Linked DNA regions of Elephas maximus indicus. The protein of the gene in region 2 interacts with the protein of the main gene of each other region in a pairwise test. Links are inferred from orthologs where the notes say so. Each region holds a gene or a part of one and is shown on either strand. Other genes may lie near its edges.

The links. The genes of interacting proteins can lie anywhere in the genome.
Region 1: the proteins of NGLY1 (region 2) and TRAFD1 interact in binary tests that used the Homo sapiens proteins (3 or more experiments, as listed by UniProt). The two-hybrid records come from large-scale screens. The link is inferred for Elephas maximus indicus from reciprocal best matches to the Homo sapiens genes NGLY1 and TRAFD1.

Annotation. Positions count from the first base shown.
Region 1 is NC_064840.1:10,427,243-10,434,742, forward strand, and holds the start of TRAFD1 (TRAF-type zinc finger domain-containing protein 1), read left to right. Parts: upstream 1-4,410; 5' UTR 4,411-4,525; intron 4,526-4,556; exon of another isoform or gene 4,557-4,810; intron 4,811-7,500. UniProt on the Homo sapiens protein: Negative feedback regulator that controls excessive innate immune responses. Regulates both Toll-like receptor 4 (TLR4) and DDX58/RIG1-like helicases (RLH) pathways.
Region 2 is NC_064845.1:13,766,785-13,774,807, reverse strand, and holds the start of NGLY1 (peptide-N(4)-(N-acetyl-beta-glucosaminyl)asparagine amidase), read right to left. Parts: upstream 3,022-8,023; 5' UTR 2,928-3,021; coding exon 2,797-2,927; intron 1-2,796. UniProt on the Homo sapiens protein: Specifically deglycosylates the denatured form of N-linked glycoproteins in the cytoplasm and assists their proteasome-mediated degradation. Cleaves the beta-aspartyl-glucosamine (GlcNAc) of the glycan and the amide side chain of Asn, converting Asn to Asp.

The DNA of each region.
Region 1 (7,500 bases), on a different chromosome or scaffold from region 2:
CTGCTAACCAAAAGGTCAGCAGTTGGAACACACTATCTGCTCTGCGGAAGAAAGATGTGGCAATCCATGTCGGTAAAGATTTACAGCTTTGGAAACCCTCTGGAGCAATTCTGCTCTGCCCTGCAGGGTTGCTATGAGTTGAAATGGACTCAGTGGCAGCGAGGTTTAATCTTTACAGAAGGAGCCCTGGTGTCACAGTGGTTAAAGCACTCAGCTGCTAACTGAAAAGTTGGTGGCTGGTGGTTCAAACCCCCCACCCACACCACAGGAGAAAGATGGGGCAGTTTGCTTCTGTAAAGATTACAGCCTTGGAAACCCTATGGGGCAGTTCTACTCTGTCCTAAAGGGTCACTATGAGTTGGAATTGACTTGACAGCAATGGGTTTTTTTTGGTTTTAATCTTGTGGAAAGAGATTGCCACATCTTTCTCTCGGAGTGACTGGTAGGTTCAAAACGAAGACCTTTTGGTTGGCAGCTGAGTGCTTAACCAGGGTTTCTTGTTGTTGTTTTTTTTCATTAGATGAGATTTTTAGTTACAAGACATAAAAACCAGCTATGACTGATTTAGCAAACAGCTTTTTGCTGAAATGATCCTGTGTCCTTCAGGAGATTGCTGCAGAGTTTTGTCATAGTTAAAAAAAAGTAGTATCATATGTGTGTAAATTTTTGTATGAGAAATTAACTTGAGCTGTAAACTTTCGCCTAAAGCACAATAAAGAAAAAAAAGATCATCTTTGCTGATTCATGAAAGTAATAATTATTTTTTTTATTCTTTATACTGCTTCAAAATACAACCTGATGATTGGAGGGTTTCTGTTTCATTTTATTTGGGGATTTACTTCAGACACTTGTTAGCTGCCATCGAGTCAACTGACTCCTCTATGTACAACTGAACAAAATGCTGCCCGGGCCTGCGCCATCCCCACGGTCAGCTGGGGATTGGACCGTTGTATTTCATTGGCTGGTTTTTCGGAAGTAGATGGCCAGGCCTTTCTTCTTAGTCCATCTTACGTTGGAAGTTCTGCTGAAACCCGTTCAGCATCACAGCTGGTGCCTGTGCATGAGGATCGTTGGTCAGGAAGAGAATTCTACCACTGAATCGCCTCCTTTTTCAGGTACAGTTGGCGAACAGGAAATTGTCTTTCTAACTGAAATACATACCTGTGTTAGGTGTGGCTCAAAAAACCATTGGCACGATAATAACTACCTTTGGAGAGAGCTTCTCCCAGTCTTCTTTTTGGTGAACAACATTCTAGGCCTGGGAGGTAATTAGGGAAGAGAGGATTGCTGTCTTTTTGTTTTTAAAAATTATGTAATGACTCAAACATACAGAAAAATAGAGAAAACAGAACTCTCTCAATTTGTAATTTATTTCTTTTTCCTTTTCTAAATACAAGAACAATGTAATGTAGAAATTCAACATAGGCATGTCATCATCGTATAGAGCTTTTCACGTGCATCCCTCCCGGAGCGCTAGCTAGGAAAGGGATAATCACTACCTAAAAAAAATGATGAAATAATGGAAACATACAGAAAAATAGAGAAAGCAACATGTTTTTCTCCTATTTTTAATGACATTTATTCTTTCTTTTCTAAATACAAGAGAGACCCAAATGAAGAATCCATGGCCTGTGAGTTGATTCTGACTCACAGCAACCCTATAGGACAGAGTAGAACCGCCCCATAGGGTTTCCAAGGCTGTAATCTTTATGGAAGCAGAGCGCTGCATCTTCCTCCCGAAGAATAGCTGGTGGGTTTGAACTGCCCACCTTTCAGTTAGCAGCTGAGCACTTAACCACTGTGTCACCAGGGCTCCTTACAAGAGAAGTACAATGCAGAAATTCAGTGCATAAATATAGAAAACACAGAAGAGCATATGAGGAAAAAACATGCTTCATCTCGCATTCCAGTCTTTTCTGTCCATTCTTTATTTCTTTTTATCAAATGTTTATTTTTCTGTTTTTTTCTTTGGTGAATCTTTTTTTAAAATTTTTATTACGCTCTAAGTGAAAGTTTACAAATCAAGTCAGTCTGTCATACAAAAAATTATATGCACTTTGTTATATATACTCCTAGTTGCTCTCCCCTTAATGAGACAGCACGCTTCTTCTCTCCACCCTCTATTTCTGTGTCCATTCAGCCAGCTTCTGTCTCCCTCTGCCTTCTCCTCTCCCCTCCAGACAGGAGCTGCCTGCATAGTCTCATGTGTCTACTTGATGCAAGAAGCTCACTCCTCACCAGTATCATTTTTTTTCCAGGGATCTAGTCTAATCCCTGTCTGAGGAGTTGGCTTTGGGAATGGTTCCTGTGTTGGGCTAAAAGAAGGTCTGGGGACCATGACTTCCGGGGTCCTTCTAGTCTCAGTCAGACCATTAAGTGTGGTCTTTTTATGAGACTTTGAGGTCTGCATCCCACTGCTTTCCTGCTCCCTCAGGGGTTCTCTGTTGTGCTCCCTGTCAGAGCAGTCATTGGATGTAGCCGGGCACCATCTAGTTCTTCTGGTCTCTCCGTGAATCTTTTTAATGACTGTGTTTTGGTAAACTTTTTTATTTGAAATAGAATAAATTTACTCAGTATATTTTTGTTTTATCTTAGTGCGTGTTTATATATATATTTCGTATATTTAATGCATTAATAGAATGAATATTAATACACATATTTTCTGGTTTTCCTTAATGTTTAATAACTGTGCTTCTTTGGTAAACTTTTATTGAAATATAACATACAATGTAAAGTGCTTAAATCTTAAGTGTACAGTGTAATGATTCTTTTACTGAATAAGTGTTGTTACTTGCTGTTGAGTCTGTTCCAATTCGTGACATCCACATGTACAACAGAACGAAGCATTGGCTGGTCATGTGTCATCTTCCCAGTGGCGTTCGTTGTTGTAGTCACTGTGCATTCTGAGTGCCTCCCAATCTAGGGGGCTCATTGTCCAGCACTACATTGGGCAGTATTTTGTTATGACTCACAGGGTTTTCATTGGCTAATTTCCAGAAGTAGATCACCAGGCCCTTCTTCCTAGTCTGGCTTAGTGTAGCAGTTCCACAGAAATCCGTCCATCATGGCTTACCCTGCTGGTATTTGAGATACTGTTGACGTAGCTTCCAGCATCACAGTAACACACAAACTACCACAGTACTGCAAATTGACAGATGGGTTTACTAATAAATACATCCATGTTAACCACTTTGCAGGTTGAGATACAGAACATTTGCAAGACTCAGAAATCCCACTCGTATCCTTCTGCAGTGTATACCCTCCAAATGTAACCACTATTCTGATTTCTCTCATCTTTTGTCTGTTTTTGAACTCGGTATGTTTGGCATCACACAGCATATACTTCATGTTGTCGTCATTAGGTGCTGTTGAATCAACTCCAACTCATGGTGACCTTATGTATAAAAGAAGGAAACATTGCCCAGTCCTGTGCCATCCTCACAATCGTTGCTATGTGTGAGCCCACTGTTGCAGCCACTGTGTCAATCCATCTCATTGAGAGTCTCTCTCTTTTACACTGACGCTCTACTTTACCAAGCATGATGTCCTTCTCCAGGGACTGGTCTCTTCTGATAATGCGTCCAAAGTAAGCGAGATGAAGTCTCGCCATCCTTGCTTCTAAGGACCATTCTGGCTGTATTTCTTCCAAGACAGATATGTTCGTTCTTTGGCAGTCCATGCTATATTCAATATTGTTTGCCAACACCACAAATATAATACTTCATGTTTAAAGAAAAATATTCTATCCTGTTACAAATATTGCTTTGTAACCTGCTTCTCCTGCTTAGTATCAGCTCATGGACATTTTACGATTATAATCTGCAATAAAATCATGATTTTAAATTGGTGCACTGTTTGTAGTTTGTTTTTTTTTTTTGTAGTACACGCTGAAGTACACTTAAATAATTATTCTCCTGTTTTCATTCATGAGGGAAGAGGAGCTCAGAGTCCATTCAGGGAGCAAGTGGAGAAACTGGGACTCGAACCTGCGTCTAAGGAAATGGCTATTCTACTGCAGAAAGCAAAGTGCTCAAATATGGTCAGAACCTTGCCGAAGACTTACATAAGGGTGTTATACCAGGAACAAGAATGACTAATAAGTATTAATGGCCCATGACAAAACAAATGCCATTAAATTATCTTAATAGTCATATTAGTAATGTTTGCACAGTATTATTCATGCAGATACTATTAGCCTGTGTGGGGGCAGTTGTTGGGCTGAACATTGGGCTCAAAGCTCAGGTCTCCGCCCCTCATTCCAGATGTTTAGGGGTTGGGACTTTCAGGGGCACGCCCCCATGGGGGCCGAGGAGCCAATCGGCGCGCGGAAGGCGGGGCCCTGGGAGCGACAACTGTGTTATCCAATGGGCCGACAGCCGAAGCTGCGGCTGGGCCAATGGGCGCGCTGCTCGGCGGCCGTCGGAAGTGGTGAGGCGGCTCTGGGGCCGCGGTTGAGCGCTGGGGCTAGCTGAGAAGGTCCGAGCTGTGGCTAGCGGTCGGCTCGGCGTCCCTCCTCGCGTCTCAGGTGAGGTGTAGCGGCGGCCCCGCGTCGGAAGTCGTCTCCCGATGGGGAGGAGGCCGCCTTCCGGGGCGAGGATGTGTGGGGGTGGGGCCCTAGGCCCCGGAGTCGCGGCCTTAAGGCCAGTCAGGGAGGCCGCGCTTCTCCTCAGGGAAGCGGAGCCTCCACCGCCCCGGCGGCGCCGCCCCCTTCCTGGCCTTAGACACCGCGGCCCGGGCGGAGCTGCGTCGGGCCCCGGCCTGGGGAGTTGAGGGACCAGGTGTGCCGACCGTCGGGCTGCCAGCGTTGGGGGTGAGTGGCGGGTGGTCTAGCGCGGCCTGTGGGCCGACTGACCCGAGTTCGAGTCCCGGCTCTGGCCGGCGTGTAACTGCCTCTCTGGATCTCTGCCATTCACCTTAGAGATTCGTGGTCGGGAAGAAAGGATCATACGTGTGAAGCGTTTGGTACTTAACTAAACGCTGGGTGAAGGTTAACCACTATTACTGGAGTGCTGTGCTCTCTCCACGTCCCGCCCTCACCCCTTTCTGGGAAAGAGCACCCCCGACGTCGCAGAGGGAGGGGCAGGTCTGCACCCCGCTGGCAGCTCCGTTCCCCGGGCATAAAACCAGTACCCGAAACCTGGAGACACCTGGTCGACGCCTAACAGGGGCTCCTTCCATGGTGGAAGACTTAAGGGGCCAAAGCAGTTCCATGCTTTCTCCCGGGGACGCCTCACAACGACGCTTTGAAGTATTAGCAACTGTTAGTGGGAGGAGTCTAAGGCCCAGGGAGGGCAAATCACGCATTTACTGAGTGGCAGAACCAGAATTTGACGCCCAGAGGGGCTGATTCCAAGCCCGGCAGCCACGCCAACCTCCCTGAAGCTACAAAACTGGGCCTTTCCTGCATCCGAGACTCAGGTCTTGGTTTAGAGGTGACCATTTAGTGGGCTGGAACTGAGCACAGCTAGAATCGGTCCCTCAGCCCTGAGAATCTAGGCACTTCCCTTCAGAGAAGTGATTTGTTTCCATAGATAGTTGGTTTCTATCCCTTGTCTCCTAGCTAGCGTTTCATATCAGAGTCGATGTCCTGAATCATGTCACTTCCTGGTTTAAACAACCTTCCTTAGTTTACGGGTTTGGAATAGAATCCAGTAGCATTTCTGGCCTACACTGTCAGGCCTGTCTTGCCGGGTTCTCCTTGTTTGTTGTGTTCCTCATCTGCCTTTACTTTCTCTTTCCTTGTCTTTTTGCCCTTCCTACTTCCTGAATGGGTTTTCCCCTCACTCCCATCCTCTTCTCAAGGCTGGCTCTTCTCCCTTTTAGGTCTTAGTTTAAATGTCATCTCCGCAAAGAGGTCTTCCCCGACCACCCTATCTAAAGGAGATTTTTCTCCACTCAATCCCCCTTTGTGTGTGCTTTCCCATCAAAATACTCACCTTAAGTTTTATTTATTTGCTAATTGTTTTTCTTGACCACTAGGGTTCTCCGTTAGGTCAAACATTATTTTTCTTTAATTTATAAAGTATCCTTAGTGCCAGGGCGCTAAATGTCTGGCAGGTTTTGAACACTGACAGTTGGTTTGGTAATACTGACACCATTCGAGGGCCCAATTCACTGAAAAACAAACCAAACCCATTGCCCTCGAGTCGATTCCGACTCACAGCAACCCTGTAGGACAGAGTAGAACTGCCCCATAGAGTTTCCAAAGAGCGCCTGGTAGATTAGAACTGCTGACCTTTTGGTTAGCAGCCACAGCACTTAACCACTATGCCACCAGGGTTTCCAGAGCCTGATTACAGAGGCACTATTCAAAACTATTTTTAATCATGCAAAACCTAGTGCCATCAAGTCAATTCTGACTCATAGCGACCCTATAAGGAATTAAATATTGAATGTAAAGTTGCCCTGCTGCTTTCTGCATTGATGTCTTGTTTAAAAAGAAGGAATGACTGACTACCCTGGAGGAACCTGGCAGACACCATCTCAGCTAAGTGATTGAAGTTTACATCACCAGTAATATTAAGTCAGTTGATGTCATGTACCTTCTGATATGATGCACCAAGATGGACACAATATCACTTCTATGGTATTCTTGCCAAAAATGTATAACCTAAATTTAATCATGAGGAAACATCAGGCAGAGCCATACTGAAGGACATTCTACAAAATAACTAGCTTACATGGTTAAAAAAAAGTCAGAGAAAATAAAGAAGAACCAAACCAGGTGCTGTTGATTTTGATTCATGGCGACCCCATGTGTTTCAGGGTAGAACTATGCTACATAGGGTTTTTGATGGCTGTGGTGGCGTAATGGTTAAGTGCCACGGCTGCTGACCAAAAGGTCGGCAGTTTGAATCCATCAGGCACTCCTTGGAAACTCTATGGGGCAGTTCTACTCTGTTTTATAGGGTCTGTCTCTGAGTTGGAATTGACTTGATTTGTTTTTTTTTGTAGCACAGTGGTTAAGCATTTGGCTGCTCACCCCAGAGTTTGGCAGTTTGAACCTACCAGCCCCTGAGCAGGCAAAAAGACCTGGCAATCTGCCCCCGTAAAGATAACAGCCAAGGAAATCCTATGGGGCAGTTCTGCTCTATCATATAGGGTTGCTTTAAGTCTGAATCAACTCACCAGCATACGACAACAACACGATCTTTTGGAAACAGATTGCCAGGCCTTTCTTCCAAGGTGCCTCTGGGTGGATTTGAGCCATTAACTTTTCAGTTAGTAGCCAAGTGCTTCACAGTTTGCACCCCGCAGAGCTCATAGAAAGATTGGAGAACTTTCCCAGATTAAACAAGATTAAGGAGAAGTGACAAATGGCAGTGTGTGATCCTGGATTGGATCCTGGGCCAGAAAAAAGGGTATTAGTAGGGCAGTTGGTGAAATTTGAATAAGGACTATGGATTAGTTACTAGTATTATAGAAATGTTAATCTCCTGCCTTTGATAATTTTACTGTCATTATGATAAATTTCAGGGAAGCTGGGCGAAGGGTATATGG
Region 2 (8,023 bases):
CCTGCCTGCCCCCCACCAGTTCCTCTCCTCCATCACCAGTTCTGCTCCCCCCATTCAGTCAGGAAGACTTGTCAATCCCTGCCTGCAATATAGTTCTCTCATTTCCATCCGCTCTGATGCTTATGACTACCGCAGTAGTTTCACAACGGAAATCCACTCTCTGTTTCACACTATTATTTACCTGTAACTCTTCCGTTATGCTTCTTTTGGACTCTAGAAAACACAAATGCTTTCTCTTAATCTGTTGTGTCAAATATAAGGTCTCCACTGGTCCATCGACTTCTCAAGGTCCAACCTTATCAAACCTGACCTGTGTTAGGTCCCACTGCTATCTCCTCACATAAATATAAATGTGCTTAAACACTGTCTTGGAATTGTTCTCTAGATTTTATGCTCTGGTTATTTTCCATACCTGTGCCTTTCTCTCAAATAGATGTATATTTTTTGAAGGAAGAAACCAGGTACTACTCTTGGCCCTTCCCAATCATACCCAGTTGTGAATCAATAATTGTGTGCACTTTGCAAAGGAAATTCGTGGAAAATCTAATGTATTGTTTAAAGAATGAATGCAGCAAATTACTGAAGGAACTCATGTGGAATGATAGAGAAATGCTGTTACAGGCTTTTGTGGAAGCGGGTATTATAGAGAACAGCTTGTCTCTGTAAGTCAATGGCCTGAAAAAGAGGTAAAAGATCCAAACTAACGGAATCTGGGGATTCAAATTAACACATATTTTATTCTGTAAGTTCATTAGATTTATGATTGGTATTTGGGGAGAAGGATAAACGTCACTTGAGGCAGACATTTTAAAAAACTTAATCAAAAGTAGTCTTTTCACTTGAAATTCAATGTGTACAGTGGCAAATATCACTGCTTAAAAAAAAAAAAAAAAAAACGAATAAAATTCATGTTTCAGCTCTTGCTCTCCCCTGAAGCAGGAGTGAGGGTCATCAAGATGAGAAGACATATAGTTCCTTGCCTCTAACACTAGTGGATTTCCCCAAACCACACACACAAAAAAAGCAACAGAAAAACCTGGATTTCTCCATTCTCAAATACTTTCAATTAGCAGATCTCTATTGTTGCTTGACTGGGGACCAAAAAAGAATCCGGAGCTTTTCCGTTTAGAGGTTAGGAAGACACTGGGTTTGGATAGGAAAGAAAAGATGGTTTTTCCTCCTGACGCCTGAAGGGATTTGAATTCTAAGAATTTGATGACAGGGGTACTACTATCTTAACTAAAAAGGACAGTTTCTTTTCATACCATCTTTTTTATAGGAGTTCCAGATGCCTAATTCCCTTTATAAATAAGAAGCAAACAAACAAACAAAAAAAGCAACAGGAAAGAAAAGCCTTTAAGAGGAGAAACCTAAGCCACAGTAAAGACTATAACTTGAACCTACAGCATGCCAAGTCTCTTCCAGGGGTTTGGTTAACATTCATAATGATGATTATGATGCCAAAAGTCATTATTTGCATGCAGAGGGTTTCCTTCCTCAAAGTACCTTGATCTCAGCATTTTTGGTTTCACAGAATCGAAACCTAGTGAGTCCTCACTACAAGGCCACCACCCTTTTCGGATTAACCCTGTGCCATTGAGTCCATTCTGATTCATAGTGACCCTGCAGGACAGAGAACTGCCCCCTAGGGTTTCTTGGTGTGGTTTAAATAGTTGGGTGGCTTTTCAGGCAGGAGGCCCAGCTGATGGGCTGTGAAAAACCCAGCCTCTCCAGTTCATTCATGCAGAGCCCACTGGCATCCTTCTGCTCTGAATAGCTCTAAGACCTCTCAGTGAGGTGAGTTGGGAAGGTATCACAGAGGAGGAAGGCGGTCCCTAGACAGGTCATGATTCTGTAGCTGTAAACAGTGCACATAGTGTACCCCTCAGAATATCTGGCACATAATAAGGGCTCAATGCAATTTCCCTAAACACCTTTAAAATCATTAACATTACCTAAATGAACAGTATTATTACTGCCATGGATTAAACACTGCACTTGTAACTAATGTCTCTAAAATTGGGTCACAGAAAATCTATAGCCTTGAAACGAAGAGCAACTCGTTTTTAGATTTCATGCCAACTTGCCTCCCCATTCCTAAAACGTCAGCTCTAGACGTGTACTTTTACTCACAGGTGAATGAAACAAATCACTCCTATCCTTCACCAATTCTTACTTATTTAGGGAGTCATACTGAAAAGTAGAATTCAGATATTGATGTGATAAGTGTAACTTTACAATAATATGGTTAATAATGTTTCAACCAACAAAAATGGCCAAAAAAAAAAAAAACTCTTAAAATTAAACACGAAACTTCAGTAGTATGCTTTAGGATATCTACGAAGCGTTGGGAAGAAAACACCAGGCTGTCAATGACTAACTTCTGATAAGCAGGTGTGTATTTAAGCCGCCCTGCTCCGAGGAGTCCACGTAGCGGACACGGAAGCGCAATTACTGTTCATATCTTGGCATTTAAGACAGTTAGTTAAACACCCGAGTGAGAAGCAAGTGCCTGGGCGCGCCCCGCCGCCTTGCCCCAACCGGGGACCTCCAGCGCACCCCGGTGCACTCCGATCTCAGGTGCCAAGTCACACATGCAAAGGGAACTTCCTCTTTTCGGGCACGATGGGGCCTGTGCGGTCCCGGGGCCCCGGCCTGCGGGCTCCTGCGCGGCGCCACCCCCAGGCCAGGTCCCCCCGGTCCCCGCCGCCCTCCGAGACCGGGTCGGGCGCCCCCAGACCCGCGCCGAGCGGGCGCCGCGCCCCGGCCGCCCCGGCGCTCCCGCCCGCCGCGCACCTGAGGATGTTGTCCGCGTAGGTGAGCAGCAGCTTGGAGGCCTCCAGAAAGGTCTCCGGGCTGTTCTGGCAGAGCTCAGCCACGGCCGGGGACGGGGAGCCCGAGGAGCTGCCCAGGGCCGCAGCCGCCATGCTGGAGCAGCCGCGGCGACACCGCCCCTCGCGCGCCGCGTCCGGCAACTGAGCAGGCGCCTCGGGGCGCGGCAGCCACTGCAGCCGGCGGGGGGCGTCGCTGGGGGTGGGGTGGGGTCGGCGGTCGGGGGCGGGGGCGGGGGCCGGTCAGGGGGCGGGGCCTCGGTCAGGGGCGGGGCCTCGGCCAGGGGCGGGGCCTCGGTCAGGCGGGGAGGAGGACGCTGGCCGTGAGGGACAGGGATGCCCAGGTGCTGGCCTGTCCTTCGAAGAAACACCGGTTTCTGGGAGCCTTAAGGACCGTCTGAATTCATCCAGACACGCGGGTGAGAAAACCCCGTTTATCTCCACCCAGCCTCGCCCAATGAAACAGTCTTCCAGCCTCTTGCTAGCAGATTGTCAGCCCCTACTTGATAGACATGGATGAAAGCCCCCGGAGGGAAGGAACCACAGACGTTCACAGTCAAACTCATGTTTCTGTTTTCCAATACAATGGTTCCTTTTAGAATTAGGCGAGTGATTGAAAATTTCTTACATATATCCCTGCTCAGACAGTATGATAATGCTGTATGAGAGAGCTTTTCAAACGGCTATGACCCATTAGTAGGTTGTAGACTCCACTTACTGTGTGGTGAGCGGCATAAAAAGCACACACAACAGCAAAATAGCATAGGATGGAGATGGGGAAGGAAGAGAATAAAATTATGCATCCCACCCACTAAGGGTAAATATTGTTTTGTGACTTTTGTTTCGCAAATAAATCATGTGCCATTTAGCCCTGGTAGAATTCGCACCCTTAACCTCTTTAATCCAGCATCTGCCCCATCGCGCCATGGAGAGTGTGTTTATCAGTATTAAAAATGGCTTCCTTAATTGCAGAAATTTCTTTCTAAACCTCAGCAAATATTTTTCCTGACCTTATGTGTGTTCTTTTTTTCTTGAAAACTTTGTTTAATGGAAAACTTTTCAGACACAAAGAACCCTTATCTGCAAAAACATTCCTATGTTGATTTCTATCTGGGGCATGGAATGGAACGCATAAATATCAGTATCTGTAGTAGCTATGCTACTAGTAAGCTACCCGTAATGTCCTTTATAGTTATGCTTTCAAAGGCACTGTGAACTCAGTATATAAAACATAGTGGAGTATCCATGAGAAATCTAAATGCTATTACCATTTATTTTGAAGTTTCATACCATCATACATAAGCACTAGCTTGTAGATCCTAAAGTTCCCTTTAACTCAGTGGCTCTTAATGACCTTATGTTTTTAAGATAAGTTATTTGCCCAAGTCGTGATGCTTTATGGAATTTGCTTTTAAGATTTGAACTTTTCTTCCAGTTTGAGTCAGACCTTGAGCTATGCTCTTCAATTATCATTCATCCGCCAGATAACACAAGTTTTTACTAAATAAGTTTTTGAACCAGTTTCCAAGAATACTGTATTTAACAGGTTAGCTGCTGAAACTAAAAATTTCAGTGGCTTAACACGAGAGAAATTTCTTGCTCTTGTAACACTGAGGGCAGGTATCAGTGGTCAGCTTTCCTACATGTATTGATTCAGGGACCCAGGCTCCTTTGATCCCTTGGAGTAGAGGTAAATGTTTTCTGTAAAGGACTAGATAGTAAATGTTTTAGGCTTTGTGGGCCCTGTGGTCTCTGTGGCAACAATTTAACCCTTTCGTGCCCAGCAGTACATATTGTGACCATGAATTTTTTAGCCTCTGGGGTTTATTGGGAAGCCTCTGTACCACTGACTGTGTGTGCTGCTCCAAGGCAGGGGCCATTATGTCTGTTTGAAACCAGAGAGATGGGTGTGCAATGCTAATTACAGTTTTTACATGGTTATTGTATGAGGGCTCTGAATTTTTGGTAGGAAAAATAGAAATTTTGTAAGTTTTTATTTGTTGTACATAGGTACCCATAGATCCCAGTGGGGACTCTGGGGTATAATTAGTGGCACTTCATATGTCCCACTAAGCACTTAGGGTAGGCTCATGGGAGAGGGCAACAACAAAAAAATCCATACTACCTACCAAAAATACAGACACACTCGAGGGTTCAGCATGCTTCCATTAATGAAAACACAGGCTATCAACAAAAAAATCAAAGCAGAAAAGGTTGGGTCACCAAAGCATTCATTCTGCCTCTGCAGTTGCAGTCTAACAGACAGGACTTAACATGAGTGGGCCCGGCTGTGTCCCAATGAACCTTTATTTACGAAAATAGGCAGCCTGTTAGATTTGGCCTGCAAGAGTAGTTTGCTAACTTCTGCAAAAGGAAGGCGCACATCTACTTCTTAAACACGTGGACTCAGAAATGACATACGGTATTTTTTTCCCCCATATGATTGGCAAGAATGAGGGTCCGTCTAGGTAAAAGTGGAGACTGGGAAATGTAGTCCCTAGCTGGACATGGCACTTCTCAAGACCCTACATGATTGAAGGTGGGGGGAAGAGGGTTGGGGTTATAGCTGTCTCTAGCACAAATGGTATCCCCCTTAATTTGGGTTTCTTTTTTCCATTAGCACATTAATTCATCCTGATAATCATTGTATGAGATTATTATGGTTTGAGGAACCCTCGAGGCGTAGTAGTTAAACCGCTAGGCTGTTAACTGAAAGGTCAGCGATTTGAACCCACTGGCCACTCTGCTGGAGAGACGTGACAGTCTGCTTCCGCAAAGATTTACAGCCTTGGAAACCCTATGGGGCCATTCTATTCTGTCCTATAGGTTTGCTATGAGTTGGAATCAACTCCACAGCAGTGGGTTTGGTTTTAGATGTAGTGATTTATGTTTTTGTTGCTTGTTTTAATAACAGGAGGCCTGGCAAACAAAATCTAAGGAAACCCGCTATACACAAAACAGCAAAGTGGAAGTACTCTGGAATTGAAGCAAGGGAGGGATGGGCCCAGAATGCTGTCAGCCTAGCCTCCCCCTTGACGGAAAAAATGGCCATGGGAAACTTCTTGGGGACAGGAAACCACAGTGTGAAAACCTATGCAATTGCATTATGATTATGACAAAGATGCACAGTCCATAAAATCATAAAAATAACCATTTCCAAATCTATTTTGTAAATTGTTTAATTTACTCAAAATTACTTGAAATTTAATTCCTTCCAACCTTAATTCTTTACCAACCCTTCTCTTAAAGTTTTTAAGTACATTACAAGCTCTTACATACCCCCATTTATGAAGCTATTAAAGGAATTCACCATAGTAAGGGAATTTGTCTCATTCTTTTCCCTGTCCACTTTTCCTACTTGAGTCAAGTTGAAGGTATTTTGATTCTTCAGTTTCCTTTTGAAAAGTTGAAGATACTAAGCTACTCTTAATGTCTTTATACCCACCATTGTTTCAAACAACTAAAGGATGTTCTAGTATTAAATAAGCATTGAACTTCCTGTTCGTTTACTTTTTTTTTTTTTTGGCTCCAAAATAATGAATTTTCTTCAGGATTCCAGATCTAAAAAGAATAACATCTTTAAAGTTGACACATGGTGGCACTATTCTTAAATGGAATAGGAAAAAAAAATAATAACCCAATTATTTTTGGCTGAAGGGTGAGCCTCAGTAATAATACTGAGCTAATAAGGGTGTCTGGGGGCCATACTCTCTGAGTTTCTCCAGTCTCTGTCAGACGAGTAAGTCTGATTTTTGGGGGGAGGGGGGGAGAGGGGAGGGCTGGAATTTCGTTGTACACTTTTCTCCAGCTCTGTCCGGGACCCTCTTTTGTGGTCTCTGTCGGAACACTTGGTAGTGGTAGCAGGGCATCATCTGGTTGCGCTGGACTCAGTCTGGTAGAGGTTGTGGAACTTGTGGTCCATTAGTCCTTTGGACTAATCTTTCAGTTCAGGGCCTCTTTATCTACTGTCCTGTCGAGTACAACATTGTCCTAACTCTCCTCCCTGTCTGAATTCCCACATCTCTCCAATCCACCCTCCATACTGCTTCAACAGTGATCTTTCTAAAGCACACATCTGACCATGTTATTCTCCTGGTAAAGAATTCTCAGTGGCTACCCTTTGCCCACACTCTGAAGTCAAGTGGTGTCTGGAGCCAGGCAGGTAACTTACATTTGTGAAGTGGCCTTGTTCAAGACAAAAAGGAGTAGCAGAGACTATGGTGAAGGGTATGGGAGAATTCGCCATGTTCTTCCTCGAGGAATTTAGATTCAATAAAAGAACGTTGCACTTCGGATTAGACCAAGGCTGCCAGCATATGATCTCCGGCCTACAGGATCAAATCCAAAGTCTTCGGTGTCATACCTACAACTTTTTGTGATCCAGCCCCTGCTTTACTCTCATGCCTTTTTATGGATTTGTCCCACAACAAAAATCCAATGTTGGCCAGATTGGACAGTTTGTGTAAGATACCATGATAATTCATGCCTCCAGGCCTTGGTGCTACTCTCTCTGCCAGGATGTCCTTCCCCATTCTATTCTTCTGATTCTGAATCATAGCGACCCTATAGGACAGAAGAGAACTGCCCCATAGGGTTTCCAAGGAACTGCTGGTGGATTCAAACTGCTGACCCTCTGGTTAGCAGCCCAGCTCTTAACCACCGCACCACCAAAGCTCCTTCTTCAAACTAGCTTCTAATTATTTTCAAGATGCAGCTCAAGGATGATTTCTTTGTAACTGGAGCCTTTGCTGACTTCACAAGGTAGCAACGACCTCATTGCTCCCTTTGCGTCTTATCCGGACTTCTGTTATAGCACCTGTTTCAGTAGTTTGCACATACTTGTTTGCCATGGCTGTCTCCGTCTACTAGACCATGAACTTCTTGAAAGCAAGAACCTATTTATTTAAAGATTTTGTGGTACCCTGTTCATTTTTGTACCCTAGCCTCTACATATAATAGGAGGAAAATAAGTGTTTGTTAAAGAAAAGAAAGTGCGAGCCTCTAAATTAGTAGTTCTCAAACTTTACCAGCACAGGAGAGAAGTTAGGGTTAATCAAGAGATAGTTAAGATCAGTTTGCTGGGTGGAAAGTTTACATAATAGAGCGTGGGAGCTATCTATGGAAAGATAGTTTTAAATGAATTTAAGGTTAACCCAGCAAGTCTGAACAGGAAAGTTGCTATGGTAAGTGGG